Linked DNA regions of Mus musculus. The protein of the gene in region 1 interacts with the protein of each later gene in a pairwise test. Links are inferred from orthologs where the notes say so. Each region holds a gene or a part of one and is shown on either strand. Other genes may lie near its edges.

Evidence for each region. The genes of interacting proteins can lie anywhere in the genome.
Region 2: the proteins of L3mbtl2 (region 1) and Phf10 interact in binary tests that used the Homo sapiens proteins (3 or more experiments, as listed by UniProt). The two-hybrid records come from large-scale screens. The link is inferred for Mus musculus from reciprocal best matches to the Homo sapiens genes L3MBTL2 and PHF10.
Region 3: the proteins of L3mbtl2 (region 1) and Paics interact in binary tests that used the Homo sapiens proteins (3 or more experiments, as listed by UniProt). The two-hybrid records come from large-scale screens. The link is inferred for Mus musculus from reciprocal best matches to the Homo sapiens genes L3MBTL2 and PAICS.

What each region holds. Positions count from the first base shown.
Region 1 is NC_000081.6:81,662,177-81,666,973, forward strand, and holds the start of L3mbtl2 (lethal(3)malignant brain tumor-like protein 2), read left to right. Parts: upstream 1-1,712; 5' UTR 1,713-1,824; coding exon 1,825-1,848; intron 1,849-4,797. UniProt on the Homo sapiens protein: Putative Polycomb group (PcG) protein. PcG proteins maintain the transcriptionally repressive state of genes, probably via a modification of chromatin, rendering it heritably changed in its expressibility.
Region 2 is NC_000083.6:14,958,041-14,962,912, reverse strand, and holds the start of Phf10 (PHD finger protein 10), read left to right. Parts: upstream 1-1,652; 5' UTR 1,653-1,718; coding exon 1,719-1,802; intron 1,803-3,387; coding exon 3,388-3,494; intron 3,495-4,872. UniProt on the Homo sapiens protein: Involved in transcription activity regulation by chromatin remodeling. Belongs to the neural progenitors-specific chromatin remodeling complex (npBAF complex) and is required for the proliferation of neural progenitors.
Region 3 is NC_000071.6:76,949,503-76,954,521, forward strand, and holds the start of Paics (multifunctional protein ADE2), read left to right. Parts: upstream 1-1,799; 5' UTR 1,800-2,317; coding exon 2,318-2,333; intron 2,334-5,019. Other genes in the region: Ppat (amidophosphoribosyltransferase), read right to left, coding at 1,455-1,582. UniProt on the Homo sapiens protein: Bifunctional phosphoribosylaminoimidazole carboxylase and phosphoribosylaminoimidazole succinocarboxamide synthetase catalyzing two reactions of the de novo purine biosynthetic pathway.

The DNA of each region.
Region 1 (4,797 bases):
GAAGGCAGAGGCAGGAGGATCTCTTTGAGTCCAAGGCCAATCCAGCTACAGAGAACCTGTCTCAAAAAAAAAAAAAAAATCAAAACAATAGAAACAATAAAAACAAGCTGGAGAGAGGGCTCAGTTTTTAAGCTCATTGGCTGCTCTTTCAGAGAACCAGGTTCGGTCCCAGCACTTTCATGGCAGCTCATAACCACCGTGTTACTCCAGTTCCATGATATCCCACACCCTTTTCTGGCTTTTGTTGGCACTGGCCACACATATGGTGCACAGTCATACGTGCAAGCAAAACTCCTATAACACATTAAAAAAGTAAATAAATAAAAATTTAAAAATAAAAAGCAACGCAGAGAGGCAGGGAGCTGGGAGTGGGTCTGGGAGCCCTCACGTAGGATAAGTAAACTAATCCAGACCTGTCTGAACTTTAGATGCTTGTAAGGCCATACAATTCCTGAGAACCCAGGATGGGAAGGAGTAGTTCTATAGGGGACTCAATCCACATGTATACTCCAGTTGGCAAAAGCGTTGACTTCAGGTGTCTTCTTCAATCTCTTGCTATCCACTGTATCGCTGCTGGCTGGTCAGCAGGCCATGGGAATCCTTCTGTGTCTGCTTACCTAGTGCTGGGATCACAGGCATGCTCTGTCATGCACTGGGGGGCAAAACTCAGCTTTCCATGCTCTGGCTGTACTCACTTACAGGCTGAGTCATCTCTCCTAGATTTAAGGTTATAACATCTATCCGTATAATTTATTTGTGGATATGGGGGTTTTGCTGAATGCATATGTATGGACCATGTTAGTGCTTGGCGTCATCAGAGGCCAGAAGAGAAAGTAGGATCCACTATAACTGGGTTTATAGAATTTTGTGAGTTGTTCTGGGTTCTGGGAATCAAACCTGGTACCTCTGGAAAAGTGGCCAGTAACCACTGAACCATTTCTCCAGTCCAAGGCTTTTTTTTCCCCATTTATTTATTTAGCTTGTGTGTTTGTTTTATGTGCGTGACACAAAGGTCAGGACAACTTTGTGAGTAGCTTTTTGACTTCCAGGTTTATGTTGTGGCTCAGAGATTTGAACTCAGGTAGAAAGGCTCATGGAACAAGATCCTTCACCTACTAAACCATCTCATAAGCCCCAGCGAGCAGACGGACATAGAGTTTAAGAATATTCCTGTTCCTGTCTGAATTGAAAGAGGGATTAGGCATTTCTGCTAGGCATTCCTGTCCAAGAGCACCTTTACTTCCTACCTGGGGAGAGTGTGAATTTTTGTCTGGGGCCCCTGGGGAGAGTGCGAATTTTTGTGTGTGTGGGGGGGGGGCTGGCACGTCCAATCCCTTGTGCTCAGATGGTTTGAAATTTGACTAAGAAAGGACAAAAACAAAAAACAAAAAAACCCGCCGGGCGTGGTGGCGCATGCCTTTAATCCCAGCACTTGGGAGGCAGAGGCAGGCGGATTTCTGAGTTCGAGGCCAGCCTGGTCTACAGAGTGAGTTCTAGGACAGCCAGGACTATACAGAGAAACCCTGTCTCTGAAAAAACAACAACAAAACCCTAGAAGTACCCTTCAGGAGATTTCGCATTACTAAGGCAACGACCCTTTTCGTGCACCCAGGAGAAAACTACAACTCCCCTAATCCTCACGGCTACCCAGCCCCTCCTTAATGGAGGCGGGGCGCGGGCGAGCGCGGAACCGGCTTCCTATTTCCTGCGGCATGATTGGCCCGCAGCTCGGGCGCAGCAGCCAATGAGCACACTCTCGGAGAGCGGCGAGGGCAATATGGCTTCCTGCACCTGGTGACGGTTGAGGGAATTGAATTTGGTATCATGGAGAAACCGCGGGGCACTGAGGTAAGAGGGAAAGGGCTCAGCCCAAGCGGGAAGGGGAGCCCCAAACGCCTCGCTCGGCGGACGCGCCGTTTTAGCGATGTCTTAGTGGTGGACAGTTGCAGGATTGGTAAACTGAGGTACGGAGCTTAGCCTCGGCCAGAGGCCCCCGAGGTTCCTTTTGGTCTGGTGACGAAGGAAGGATGGCAACGCCTCCCTAGCCAGGGGCAGGGAAACTGGGCTCTGAACTTTGTCTTGGTTTCATGGTTCTGAGCTTTAGGATCGTGCGGCCTGTCCCTTCCACGCGGGAAGTGAAGGGAGGAAGATCGGAGTTGATTCCTACTCCACGCTGGGAGCGTTCACGTGCTGGTCTCCCCGTACGCTCACAGCCATCTTCTTTAGGGAGGGATTAAAACAGCCCTCTGGGTCGACACAGCTGCAAAGTGCAAGAGGTTGTCACCAAGTACGTCAGTTTCCAAAACTGCGTTACGCTTTTTCCGTGGTACCGCAGCCGGTGACCCACCGCACCTTGCATTTGAAGTCTCTTGCCGTTTCCTAGCGGTAATAATTGCTAAGCTTTATTGAGCACTGTTGAGTGTTTTACGTTTATCATCCCTTCCCAAAATATTATTAAATAGTGGTGTTGTCTTTATTTGGTGGAAACCGAGGCAGTGCATTTGACTCGCTGTGCATCGTACAGCTAGGAAGCACTAGAGATCGTATTTGAACCTTGGCCCAAAGCGTCATTCTCTTTACCTCTGTCTTGCCCAACAAGCTAGGCACGTTTTTTCCTATTACAAGCTAGGTACGTTTTTATGTAGCATTTCATCGCTACCTCACATTCTGTGAGCCAACAGCTGTCGTGGATGAGAAAATTGTCCCACAGACCTTAAGTGACTTGCCCCAGGATCAGTAGCTGATTTCAATCAGAGCTCAACTCACGGCTGTGGTCCATACCACCATACAATTAGTCATCTGACTCAAAGCCTCCTTGGGATAGCCTGGGTCTCAATTTTCTCAGTCTTTTTTTCTTTTCCCTGTTTTCCTTTAAGGAAGAAAACAGGTTTATTGGATACATTGCAAGGAGCAGTGGTCTAGGCAGCAGCAAGAGGGCCTGGCAGTCTTAAATTTGTTTCTGAGTTGAGATCATTTGGATGTACATATACAGAAGAGGGAAGAAAGAGTTTCAAATGCCTTCTAGCCCAGTAAAAATTTTTTGAGGTGCTTAGGATATTTCCACATTATTGTGTAGATCTCTGATCCCTGGCAGCGTTTTTTGACCTGATAGTGGTGTGGAAACAGTATCTTTTCAATAGATGCTGTTCTTTGAAATTGGAATTTTGCTCTGTACCCAAGCTACCAGTATGAGGGGTCTTGGTGCTGAGCAGAGGCTCAAACCAACCACAGCTTGCACTTAGCCATGTGGTCATTGGAGGAAACAGTCCATTCTCTTTTCTTATTTGTTTGTTTATTTATTTATGTGAGTACACTATAGCTGTACAGATGGTCATTGGAGGAAACAGTCCATTCTTTTTTCTTATTTGTTTGTTTGTTTATTTATTTATTTATGTGAGAACACTATAGCTGTACAGATAGATGGTTGTGAGCCTTCATGTGGTTTTTGGGAATTTTAGGACCTCTGCTTTCTCTGGTCAACCCCACTCTCTGCAGTCACCCTTGCTTGCTCAGTCCCTGCTTGCCTCGGCCCAAAGATTTATTTATTATCATACATAAGTACACTGTAGCTGACTTCAGATGCATCAGAAGAGGGCGTCATATCTCATTATAGGTGGTTGCGAGCAGCGACCATCTGGTTGCTGGGATTTGAACTCAGGACCTCCGGAAGAGCAGTCAGTGCTCTTACCCGCTGAGACATTTCTCCCGTCCTCTTTTCTTTCTTTTCTTGTTTTGTTTTTTGGAGAACTTGTTTTGTAGACCAGGCTGGCCTCAAACTCACATAGATCTGTCTGCCTCTGCTTCCTGAGTGCTGGGAATAAAGGCGTTCACTACCACACCTGCCTTTTTCTTTCTTCTTGTTCTTCTTCTTTTTTTTTTTTTTTTTTTTTTTTAAGAGGATCTACTAGCCAGAGGGTGGTGGTGCAAACTTTTAATCGCAACACTTGGGAGGCAGAGGCAGGCAGATCACTGCATTCTAGGTTAACATGGTCTACAGAGCTAGTTCCAGGACAGCCAGGGCTACTGAGGGAAACCCTGTTTCAAAAAAAAAAGAAAAAGAAAAAAGAAAGAAACAAACAAACAAAAAGAAAAAAGAGAGTGAAGAGAGAGGTGGGGGTGTTGGGGTCTACCGTGCGGTCTGAGCTGACCTGGAACTTGCTGTGTAGACCAGACTTGTTTCAAGCTCAGGGTTCTAGGATTAATGGTGTGTACCACAATACCTAGCCTCTTATACCTAGTCTCCTAGATGTTTTAAATGAATATATACATATATAGATAGATAGATAGAGATATAGATATGTATATAGATATGTGTGTGTGTGTGTGTATATATATATGTTGGTTTTTAGATTTATTTATTTATTATTATATCTAAGTACACTGTAGATGTCTTCAGACGCACCAGAAGAGGATAGAGGGCATCAGATCTCATTATGGATGGTTGTGAGCCCCTATGTGGTTGCTGGGATTTGAACTCAGGACCTTCCAAAGATCAGTCAGTGCTCTTAACCGCCGTATATTGGTTTTTCTTTTTTTTTTTTTTTTTTTTTTTAAGATTTATTTATTTATTATATGTAAGTACACTGTAGTTGTCTTCAGATACACCAGAAGGGGGCATCAGATCTCATTACGGGTGGTTGTGAGCCACCATGTGGTTGCTGGGATTTGAACTTCGGACCTTCGGAAGAGCAGTCGGGTGCCCTTACCCACTGAGCCATCTCACCAGCCCCGTATATTGGTTTTTCATGCCATGATTTCTTTGTGTAGCCTTGGCTGTCCTAGACCAGGCTGGCCTCA
Region 2 (4,872 bases), on another chromosome or scaffold:
CATTTCTTAACTTTCAAATTTTATAACATTAAAATCTTTTTGTTTTTTAATTGCAAGTATGCTCTTTCCCACCTACGATGCCCTTAAGTTCAGTTATATATATTTGTGTATCACTTTATCTTGAAGCTGCAGACATCCTGCTCTATGGCAGGCACTCCCTTCACCTCTACATTATTTGTCGGCTCTATACTTCATGTGGATACACTATATATATTTCAAAGGAGGAGAGAAGTGCTGGGCTTACTTTCTGGAGCTAGAAGCTGTGGCTGTGAAAGGGAACTCGAATTCTAAAATCCAAGAGCTAGATCACCACCACCTTTTCTGGTTTGGTCCCCTACATTCTTGGAAGTGTTGTGGGGAGTGGAGGGGATGGGGGGTGGGGGATGTAGGCCTGCCTCTCTGCCCCTTGCCTTTGTCCATTGGACCTGTTGTCTTCCTGGTGCTCTTTTCAAAGGGTGGGGTACGGCCTTTCCTGTGGCGAAGTCTAAGCACTAACATCAATATAAATCCTGTCCAAACACCATTGGACAATTGGCTTCCATTTCCAGGAATTCCCAATCCTGTGTCCTGCAGGTGACTGTGCTGACTCTGTCATATGATTTTGGGAACCTTCCCTATGTTCTCCTTGCCTGACTGGGTTCCGTTCAACCTGAGTGCTGCTGTGACTTTTCCCGTGGCCATGGGGGCCACTACGCCAAGGTCACAGGAGAAGCAGTTGTAGAACAAATGAGCCAAGAGCGCCTTGGGGATCCTGGGGTGTGTGGAGTGAAGATGGAGAGGTGGGGTGGAGAAGTCAGAAAGGACTCAGGAGAAGGGGATCTCAAAGAGGGAGGAGGCGGAGCTCCTGGGGTGGTTGACCCTAAGGGCTGCGAGAGAGGAGGAAGTGGGCTGAGGACACTAATCCTTCATTTACAGAAGGGAGCGAGGACCCTGGTGGAGAAGGGGAGGTCGCCGCGGCTGTGGAGACCCCGGGCTGAGAGGAGGGGCTGGGGACCGGTAGGGGTGGGGTTGGTGGGAGGATACCGCGCGGTAGGGACCCTCAGCTAAGGTGCTGATGATCGGGAGTGGGGAGGACACGGCGGCGTGGTGGCGACCCCGGGCTGAGGGGAGGAGCTGGGTACGGGGGAGGGATTGGAGAACAAGCGTGGTGAAGACACATCTTTGAGGGGAGGGGCTAGGGACCCAGGTGGGGACAAGGCAGGCACCGCCGACTGAGGACCCCCGGCTGACGCGCAGCGGAGGAGGGGAGGGGGCGGGACCGCGGCGGGGCGGGGCGGCGCGGAGCCGCGGCTGACGCGGAGGGCCGGGCCGGGGGCGCAGGGAAGGGGCGGCAGCGAGCTCGCCAGGCGGCCAGGAACCCGGGTGGGGCCGGGACCGAGGCGGTGGCTGGCCAGCGGAGCTCAGGCCGGGCGCGGCGCGCCGGGTGAAGGCGGCAAGGCGGCAAGGCCCCGGCCGAGGCCGGCGGAGCCGCGCAGCTGCGGCCGGCTGACGTGAGCGGCGTGCGGGTCCCGGCCGGCAGCGCGCTGGCGGCCATGGCGGTGGCGCTGGCGGGCCGCGGGGCGCGCGGCGGCAGGGGCCGGCCCCCGGGCGGGCGGGCGGAGGGGGCGGGGCCGGGGCGCCGGGCGGCCCGCGCGACAGCGGCGGCAGCGGCGGCGGCGGCGGCCGCTGGGACTAGGCGAAGGCGGCGACGACGACGGAGGCGCGGGGCGCTTGGGCTGATGGCAGCGGCCGGGCCCGGGGCGGCGCTGTCCCCGGGGCGGTGCGACAGCGACCCGGCCTCCCCCGGAGCGCAGTCCCCAAAGGTGAGCGGAGCGCGCTGCCCAAGGGGCAGCGGCCCAGGCCGGGCTCGGGAGAGAAGAGGAGACCGGGCGGCGGGTCCTGGAGCAACAAGTGCGGCGGACAGTGGGCGCGGACGTCGGGGAGACCTGCGCGGCGGGGTGGGAAGTTGTCCGGGAATAGCTGGGACCGGGGGACTCGGGAAGAGTGCTTGAGACGAAGCGCCCCCAGCCTGGGAAAGTCGGAAAAGTTGGCGGCCTTGGGGATCTCAGTCGGGGAGACGCTGAGCGGGACGTGCGCTCGGGGTCCCGAGTTGGCAGAACGTGGTTTCACACCCACAGACCCGGCCAGCCGAGGTGGCCCCCGCCACGTGCCGGTCCTCCCTGGTGGGGTCTCTGACTGCTCGCAGGGGGCTGCTGGCTCCCTGTCCTGACCGAGGATGGTGCGGAGGGGAGGGCCTTACCTGGAACGTAGCCCTTAGGATTCCTACAGTTGTGAGCTGGTAAACTCTGTGTCAACTTCCGTTATTGTTTCTTTTCGAGAGGATCATTGTTTTTAAGTAAAAGTATTGACATACAGAAATCCTTAAAATGTCCACAAATTAATAAAATAGTGCTTAAAATTAACGGTGTCAAGCCAGTATGGACCATGAATACAGTGAAAAACATACTAAGAAATTTAATTATCTTTCAACTTCTTGATTGTTAGCTTTAAAAGGGAATATTAAGTCTACTTGATTTCATTCTTGAAGAGTGAAAAGGGGAATGATTTCTATGTTCTTTTTTAATTTGGAAAGTAATTTTAGTAAATTCCTAGGTGCTGGAGACATAATGAAATATAAAGTCACTGCTAATCACAACGTTAACATATATCAGACAGCTATGTGCTACCTGGCTCTTATGTGATCACTTCACTGCATCCTTGCATCAGCCACCTAGGCTTTAGGACTGGGGAGAAGCTTGCAGCACACAGCTGGTGGAGGGCAGTGCTCAGTAAGATTCTCTGGCAGCCCGCAGTGCCATGCTGACTTGGCATGCTAGCCTGTGCTGCCTTTTCATTCCCTTCCGTGGGCCTTTATTGAAATTTATAGTAAGAGTAGTAGTGTTAGGAGCTATAGTACCTTGATTTAAAAAAAAAATAGGAGTTTAAGCCTATTAATTAACGTAATGAATTGTTTTTAAAACATTTGATTACTTATTTCCTTAATGGAATGGCTCAACAACCTATATCTCCTATGAGTTTATCACAAAGTGTTGAATTTCTGCCGCAGAAGAAAAGGAATGTAGTTAGACGTGGTAACCTGTATCCAGTCCTTCTTCATCTCCAAAGTAGCTAATTAAAATGCGCCTCCGGGGGGCCAGTTGTAAGCTGAAGGGTACTATGAAACTTACTAGTATTTATTTCCCAGCTCAAATAGGAAGGCTTGCTTTGATTTTTAAAGTGGTGTGGCTACTAAAAAGCAGATGTTTGAACACAATCTAGTTGGTAAGAAAGTGAAAGCAGAGTACATTTAAAATACAGTTGAAAATTTAATTTCATTTCGATTAAAGGTCAGATTTTAGTTTTATTCATTCTTAAATTTTCTAATTTTTTAATCATTTAAATGTACAGGATGATAATGAAGATAACTCAAATGATGGGACCCATCCATGTAAAAGGAGGCGAATGGGCTCAGGAGACAGCTCAAGAAGTTGTGAGACTTCAAGTCAAGATCTTAGGTACTTTAAGGTTCAGTAGTAACTTTCGTAGACTTTTGCTCACTTCTTCTTCTCCTGCCTATTCCAGGCAGCAGAAACAGTTATTAAAAATTATATGTGTTGGCTGGAGAAATGGCTCAGAAGTTAAGAGTGCTTGCTTAACTGGAGGTTGGTTAGCAGCCCCACATCTCATCTCATAAGCTCCTGTAAACTCTGGAGGATCTCATGGTCCATTCCGGCCTCCACAAATGTCTGTATAGAGAGCAAACAAACAAATCTTCTAAAAAAGTCATATACTATCAAAGTAGGTCTCACTCCTGATAACTGTTAAAAAGTTATGGTAAAGTAGGTATATAAAACTCACCATTGTAACACTTTTTATATATAAAGAGTATATTTCAGTACAACCATCACTCTCGGCCCTTTCCAAAACTTTAGTAACTCAAACTGCCTAACCCTCCAGTACCTCCCATCCCTTCCTGCCTCCAGCTGCTGGTTACCACAGTTCTACTTCCTGCCCTGAGTATGAACCAGACAGTACCTGCCCCGTGTTATCTGGCTTACCCATAACCATAGTATCTTCAAGGTTCATCGTGTTGGAGCTCCTTAAGTCTGAACAATATTCCATCGTATGTTCTGCTACATTGTGCTCATTCACCTGCAGGCTGGGGTAGTTAATGCTGAAGTGAACACTGGCATTCAGACCCCTGTTCTTAATACTCTGGTATATAACTAGAAGTAGAAAGCTGTACCACACGTTGATTCTGTCTTCAGACTTTTTAAGGACCTTCCATACATTTCCATAGCAGTAGTACCAGTCTGCATTTCCACCAACAATACACCTTGCAACATTATTTTTGCTCATTTTGCTGATAGGCGTCCAGAAAGACATAAGGTGATCACCCACTGTGATTCTGTGTTGTATACCATGGCTAGTGGTGCTTGCCGAATATTTTTTAGGTGCTCTTTGATCATTTGATTTATGTTTTTGGAGAAATGTCTATTTACTTCTCTGTCCATTTCTCCACCCCTACCCCAGTTTTTGTTTTTGTTTTTGTTTTTGTTTTTTTGAGACAGGGTCTTAGTATGTTTCTCTGGCTGTCCTTGAATTTACTATGTACATGAGGCTGGCTCACAGAGCTAGATTAAAGGCATGCACCACTGTGCCCAGCTGTCCATTTCTCTTTTATTTTGTGCTGATGAGTTATGGGGCTCCTTTATGTATTCTGCATATGAATTCCTTTATCAGGTTTGTAAGTAATTCCCAGCACTCTGGCTCTTTCCCCCTGTAGTTGATAGTGTCACTTTCTAAAATCTAACTTTAATGTCTGCTTTTATAACTTTTGTTTTGAGTGTTAAGTCTAAGAATCTGTTGCTAACATAGGGTTTTCTAGGCAGC
Region 3 (5,019 bases), on another chromosome or scaffold:
CGCCTTTAATCCCAGCACTGGGGAGGCAGAGGCAGGCGGATTTCTGAGTTCAAGGCCAACTCAGTTCCAGGACAGCCAGTCACAGAGAAACTGTCTCAAAAAAACAAACAAAACAAAAAAAGTAAGTATAGGAAACATAATAACATAGTGACAAGTCACTAAGAATAAGTTGTAGTTTGTTTGTTTATCGAGACAGGGCCTCATTGTAGCTATGGCAGGCCTAGGATTTGCTATGTAGCCTCAAAAGCTCCAGATCAGTTTGCCTCTGCAGACCTCTCCAGTGCTTTGAGCTAGTCACTGCACCCAGCAAGTTGTAACTAATTTAAAAAACAAAACAAAACAACAAAAAACATAGTCCCCTACACCATATACATACACACATTCTCAAAACAATTTTTTTGGGGGGAGGGGGGTTCAAGACAGGGTTTCTCTGTATATATAGCCCGGGCTGTCCTGTAACTCACTCTTTAGACCTGGTTGGCCTCAGAACTCAGAAATCCACCTGCCCCTGCCTTCCAGTTGCTGGGATTAAAGGCATGCGCCACCACAGGGTGGCCCCAGATGCTTTTTTTTAAATAAATGTATGCGGAGTATGTAGAATGTCAAATAAGACTCTGCAAAAGGACAACTTCTAGGCTAAGTCTGGTAAGAATAATCATTAGTGATGCATGTAGCACCCACATTGATAAAAAGGGTTACTGCCCAGCTCTGGTCTAGACATTGTTGCTACTGTATTGTAAAACTCCGTGATAGAATAGTTTTTGAAGAGAGACAAAACCCTAGTTTGTATTATTTCCATAATACTGTCAGTGAAGTCAAGAAACAAATTATGGAGGCAAAGGTCTTTTTTTCTTTGTTTGCCCCAAAGGCATCTCCCAATTTCTCATAGCTATAACTACTTTTAAACTCACGATCTCCAAACCTCTAACTGCTTTCAGGCTGACAAATCTGCTCAGTAGCTCTGCCCTTGCAAACAAAGCTCTTGCAAGCAGGAGGCCCCGTGCAAAACAACAACAAATAGAAAAACCTTCAAGTGTTGCAGGACCTTCAGCACCACCACCCTACAGAAGCTTATCTCTAGAACAGTTCTAGTTTCAAGGAGATCTGAACGGTCCCTTCCCAACCTGGCTAGTGAAAGCAAACTCCAGAGTAACTAACCCGCGACGAGAGATGCACATTCTTGGGAGCTAACCTGTAAAGAGCACTCGGGAGCAACGCGACAGCCTAAGTTAAAGTCTATGCAGGCAAAGTGTACCCCACCCCCACTTGGTCAATATCCTGAGTAGGTACTTGACTTGATTCTCGAGATTCACCCTCCTAGCCCTGATCCCCCCTTCCCAGTCATGATCCACCCTCATTGTCTTGCGTTCCCCGTAGCACAGAGCTGGGAAGCGGCTCGTGGAACTGTGCAAATACTTGCCATTCCACCCCCACCCCTCCATCCTGTTGCTCACCGGTGCTGTAGCCCCACGAGTCCCAGAGTGATCACATGCGGCACATCTAGCTGCGTGGGCCAGTCTCCAGAAGCGATGCACCCAAACACACCACATTCCTCGCGGATCCCCAACTCCTCCAGCTCCATGGCGCCTCGGAAAGCACGTGGAGGGACCTGCTGCCGCGGCGTGGTCCAAGCACCAACCAGCTGTCCGCTCCGCTATCGAACGCCTCAAGAGGCTCGCGCTACTGACTGCCTCCTTCCCGGGCGGGCTAGGTTCTCGCTACTGCGGCGGCGCGCTTCATAGAAGGGGCGTGACCAGTTCTGCCTCCCGCTCTCCGCCAATCAGCTAGGGCAAAGAGAGGGGCGGGGCTACGGAGTCAAAGAGGTGGGGAGGAGGCCGAGGTCAGGATCGCTACTTTCTCTGCACGTGGGAGGCTCCGTTATTTTCCCGCGCCCAAGGAGTAGGTGATGAGAGTGGCGCAGCTGATCGCGTGGGTCCCTCAGAAAACCTGAGCCGTTCGTGCCCCCTGGTCTCACGCCGTCCCCCGGCCGTCAGGACTTGGTCCGCTCCAACCCAGAAACCTCTCCGGCCAGCGGGGGCCTTGCAGCATGCGCGCCACTTTTTGGCTGCCTGCGGGGAGGGGCCGCCCGGAAGCGGGGTCGCGTCAGCGCGCCTGCGCGGCGGGAAGCCTGGGGACACGACTCCAGCCCCAAGCACAGCCAGCCCGGTACTTCGGGTTCGCCGGTGGGCTGTGGGGCTAGGGCGTGTCCTTGATATTGCACCTCCCTTTCCCGCCCTCTGATCCTGTGGTCGCCCTTGTTTTCCAGAACACTGCCCTTTTTTCCCGCGCGGTCTGCTCCTCTAGTTCACCTCGGATAATGGCGACAGCCGTAGGTGAGTAACTTGCTTTCGGACCCTAGGGTCCCCCAGCCCTCCGTCAGAGAGCTAGCAGGCTTGACGCATACACGTGCGGCCCCGAGGTCGGATGCAGGCCTTCCGACAAAGTGCCTGATCGGGTTCCCCAAGACGGCGCCTGGGGCCCGGAGCCTGCACACATGGTCCAGGCGCTGGAAGACGTGCGTTAAACTCTTAAGCACCCAGAGCCTATTTAAATAGCCAAAAGAAGGCCCCGGGACGGGAAGGAAAGTAGCAGAGTGGGAAAGTACTCTGAAGGTGAAATGGCCAGAAACTAACCAAGTGCCTAGAAACCTTGTAATAAGCAGATAAACAACCAAGAAAATCTATCAGGGTTTTTGTTTATTCTGGTAAAGTTAATATGCCAATAATCTCCTTTACTGCAAGTTTCGTAGTTTAAAGTGTTTGAAAACAGGTCCAAAATTTTTTGATCAGATGCTTCTTTGCAATCCCTGGAATTTGGGATTGTGGGCGTGGGCTAGTAACACCCTTAGGATATGGGTGTGGAGAGTGCAAAGTTACTTTATCCACTAACAAAACACTGTCTTGGAACAACACAAGTTTCTAGATTAATAAGGAAGCAGATCCTGTGGGCACTCCAACATTCTTTCCCACCTATGAAAACCACCCTGAAGTTTATAGGTAGTACAGCTCCATAAAATTGGGAATTAGGGCCAGACTTTTTCTGAGACAATCCACAGCGCCAGTACTTCTAAACTAGTAAAAATCTTAGAATCTAACCTCTTCCCCACATCTGATGTGGCCCTGTGCTGACAAGGGTCCGAAGAAGGTGTTCATATCTATAGTTTAATTTTGAATGGCTGTAAACTACCCTATAGATTCTGGGAACTGGACCTGGGTGCACTGTAAAACATCGGAGTGTTCTTAATTGCTGAGCAATCTCTCTGGCTTCTATTTTACTTTGTTGGTTTTGTATCCGTGGTTGTGTGCACTTGAGTACAGATGCACAGAAGCCAGGGCCTGTCTTGAAGCAGGAGTACACATGAGCCACCCAGTGTAACTGCTGTGAACTGAATTTGGATCAAGTATTGACTAAAACTCGTGTCTCCCATATTAAATCAGTATCTTGTGTCTGTTGCTCTTTAGTATTTAGCAGCCCAATGGTTCTTGGGTTAAATCTACATAGCTAATGAGTTAGTAATGAACTAGATAGAAGGCAACAGTGGGTCAGGCTGAGTATAGAGATTTTCAAGAGGACACAAACATTAAGGAAGTTAGAGTTCCAGAAAGGAAATTTACAGCTCAAAACTGGAGTTAGACCATGAGGGGCTTTTTAAACTTTGTTAATTCTTCTAAACATTAAGTTAGGAAGATGGCTATATTCATCTTTTACCTCACTGAACTATAGTGGAAATATTAGACAAGTTATTTATCACCAATGTCAACCAGAATCAAATTTAGCGTAGTTGAGGGAAAAAAATTACATTTATTTAGTGCTAATTAGAATTGTAATCTTAGATACCCAAAGGCAAGTAGGTTGGAATAGTGTATTTAGGGTTTTTTGTTGTTGTTGTTGTTTGTTTGTTTTGTTTGTTTGTTTTCAAGACAGGGTTTCTCTGTATAGCCCTGGCTGTCCTGGAACTCACTTTATAGACCAGGCTGGCCTTGAACTCAGAAATCCACTTGCCTCTGCCTCCTGAGTGCTGGGATTAAAGCTGTGAGCCACCATGCTCGGCGGGTTGTTTTTTCTTTAAAGGTTTATTTAATATATATATCAGTACACTGTAGCTGTCTTCAGACACACCAGAGGAGGGCATCAGATCTCATTACAGATGGTTGTGAGCCACCATGTGGTTGCTGGGATTTGAACTCAGAACCTCTGGAGGAGTAGTCAGTGCTCTTAACCGCTGAGCCATCTCTCCAGCCCCAGTGTATTTAGTTTTTACAAGATGCCCTTTTTATGGTTTTAAACAAGAAAGCTTCATAACAAATCATTCACAGCAGTATAGTTAATATTACCAAAAATTGGGATTTCTGATGAGAAGAAAACTATCTCTGGGTAGTTTGGGGGGAAGAGTCAGTATATTGTAGGTAACAGGCTGTAAAGCTGATGTTCCAGAAATGCAGTTTGGTCCACTCCAAAGGTCATCTCACTTAGTTGTGGCCAACTAAAATTTGATCCAAGAAAGGAATTGGCCTCCTGCATCCATTTTTCCGTACACTGCACCAGTGATAGGCCATTGATTTTTCTTCTTGGACACTTAACTGCTTCCTGTGCCAGCTGGTGGTGTGACCTGATCGGCTCTTTAAGTTTGGGGTTTTGTTTTTGCCTATTTGGTTGTGTCTTGATCACTACCAAGCTACACGGTCCTGGAACACTAAGTGCTTAGCCATGCTGACCTTGCCTTGGCTGCTTGGTCTTTCAATTACCCCTTGTTAAAGTCTGATCTTTTTTCATGTCTGTTCAGCTTTTACTTCATTCTCGACTTCTCTGTAGGGTGTGCCTGCTGTGAATAGTCTCTACCTTGTATTTTATTATAGTTTCTTATCAATTGCCAGCTTCCTTCGAGACTTAGGTCCCCTGAGAGCAGAAACTAGATTTCATTTGCTGTTCTGTCCACAGGCCCTGGCACACAGATACATTGGAAAAGTACTGAGGATGAGTGTTGCAAGATACCTGATCACACTGTGAACCCCAAGGATG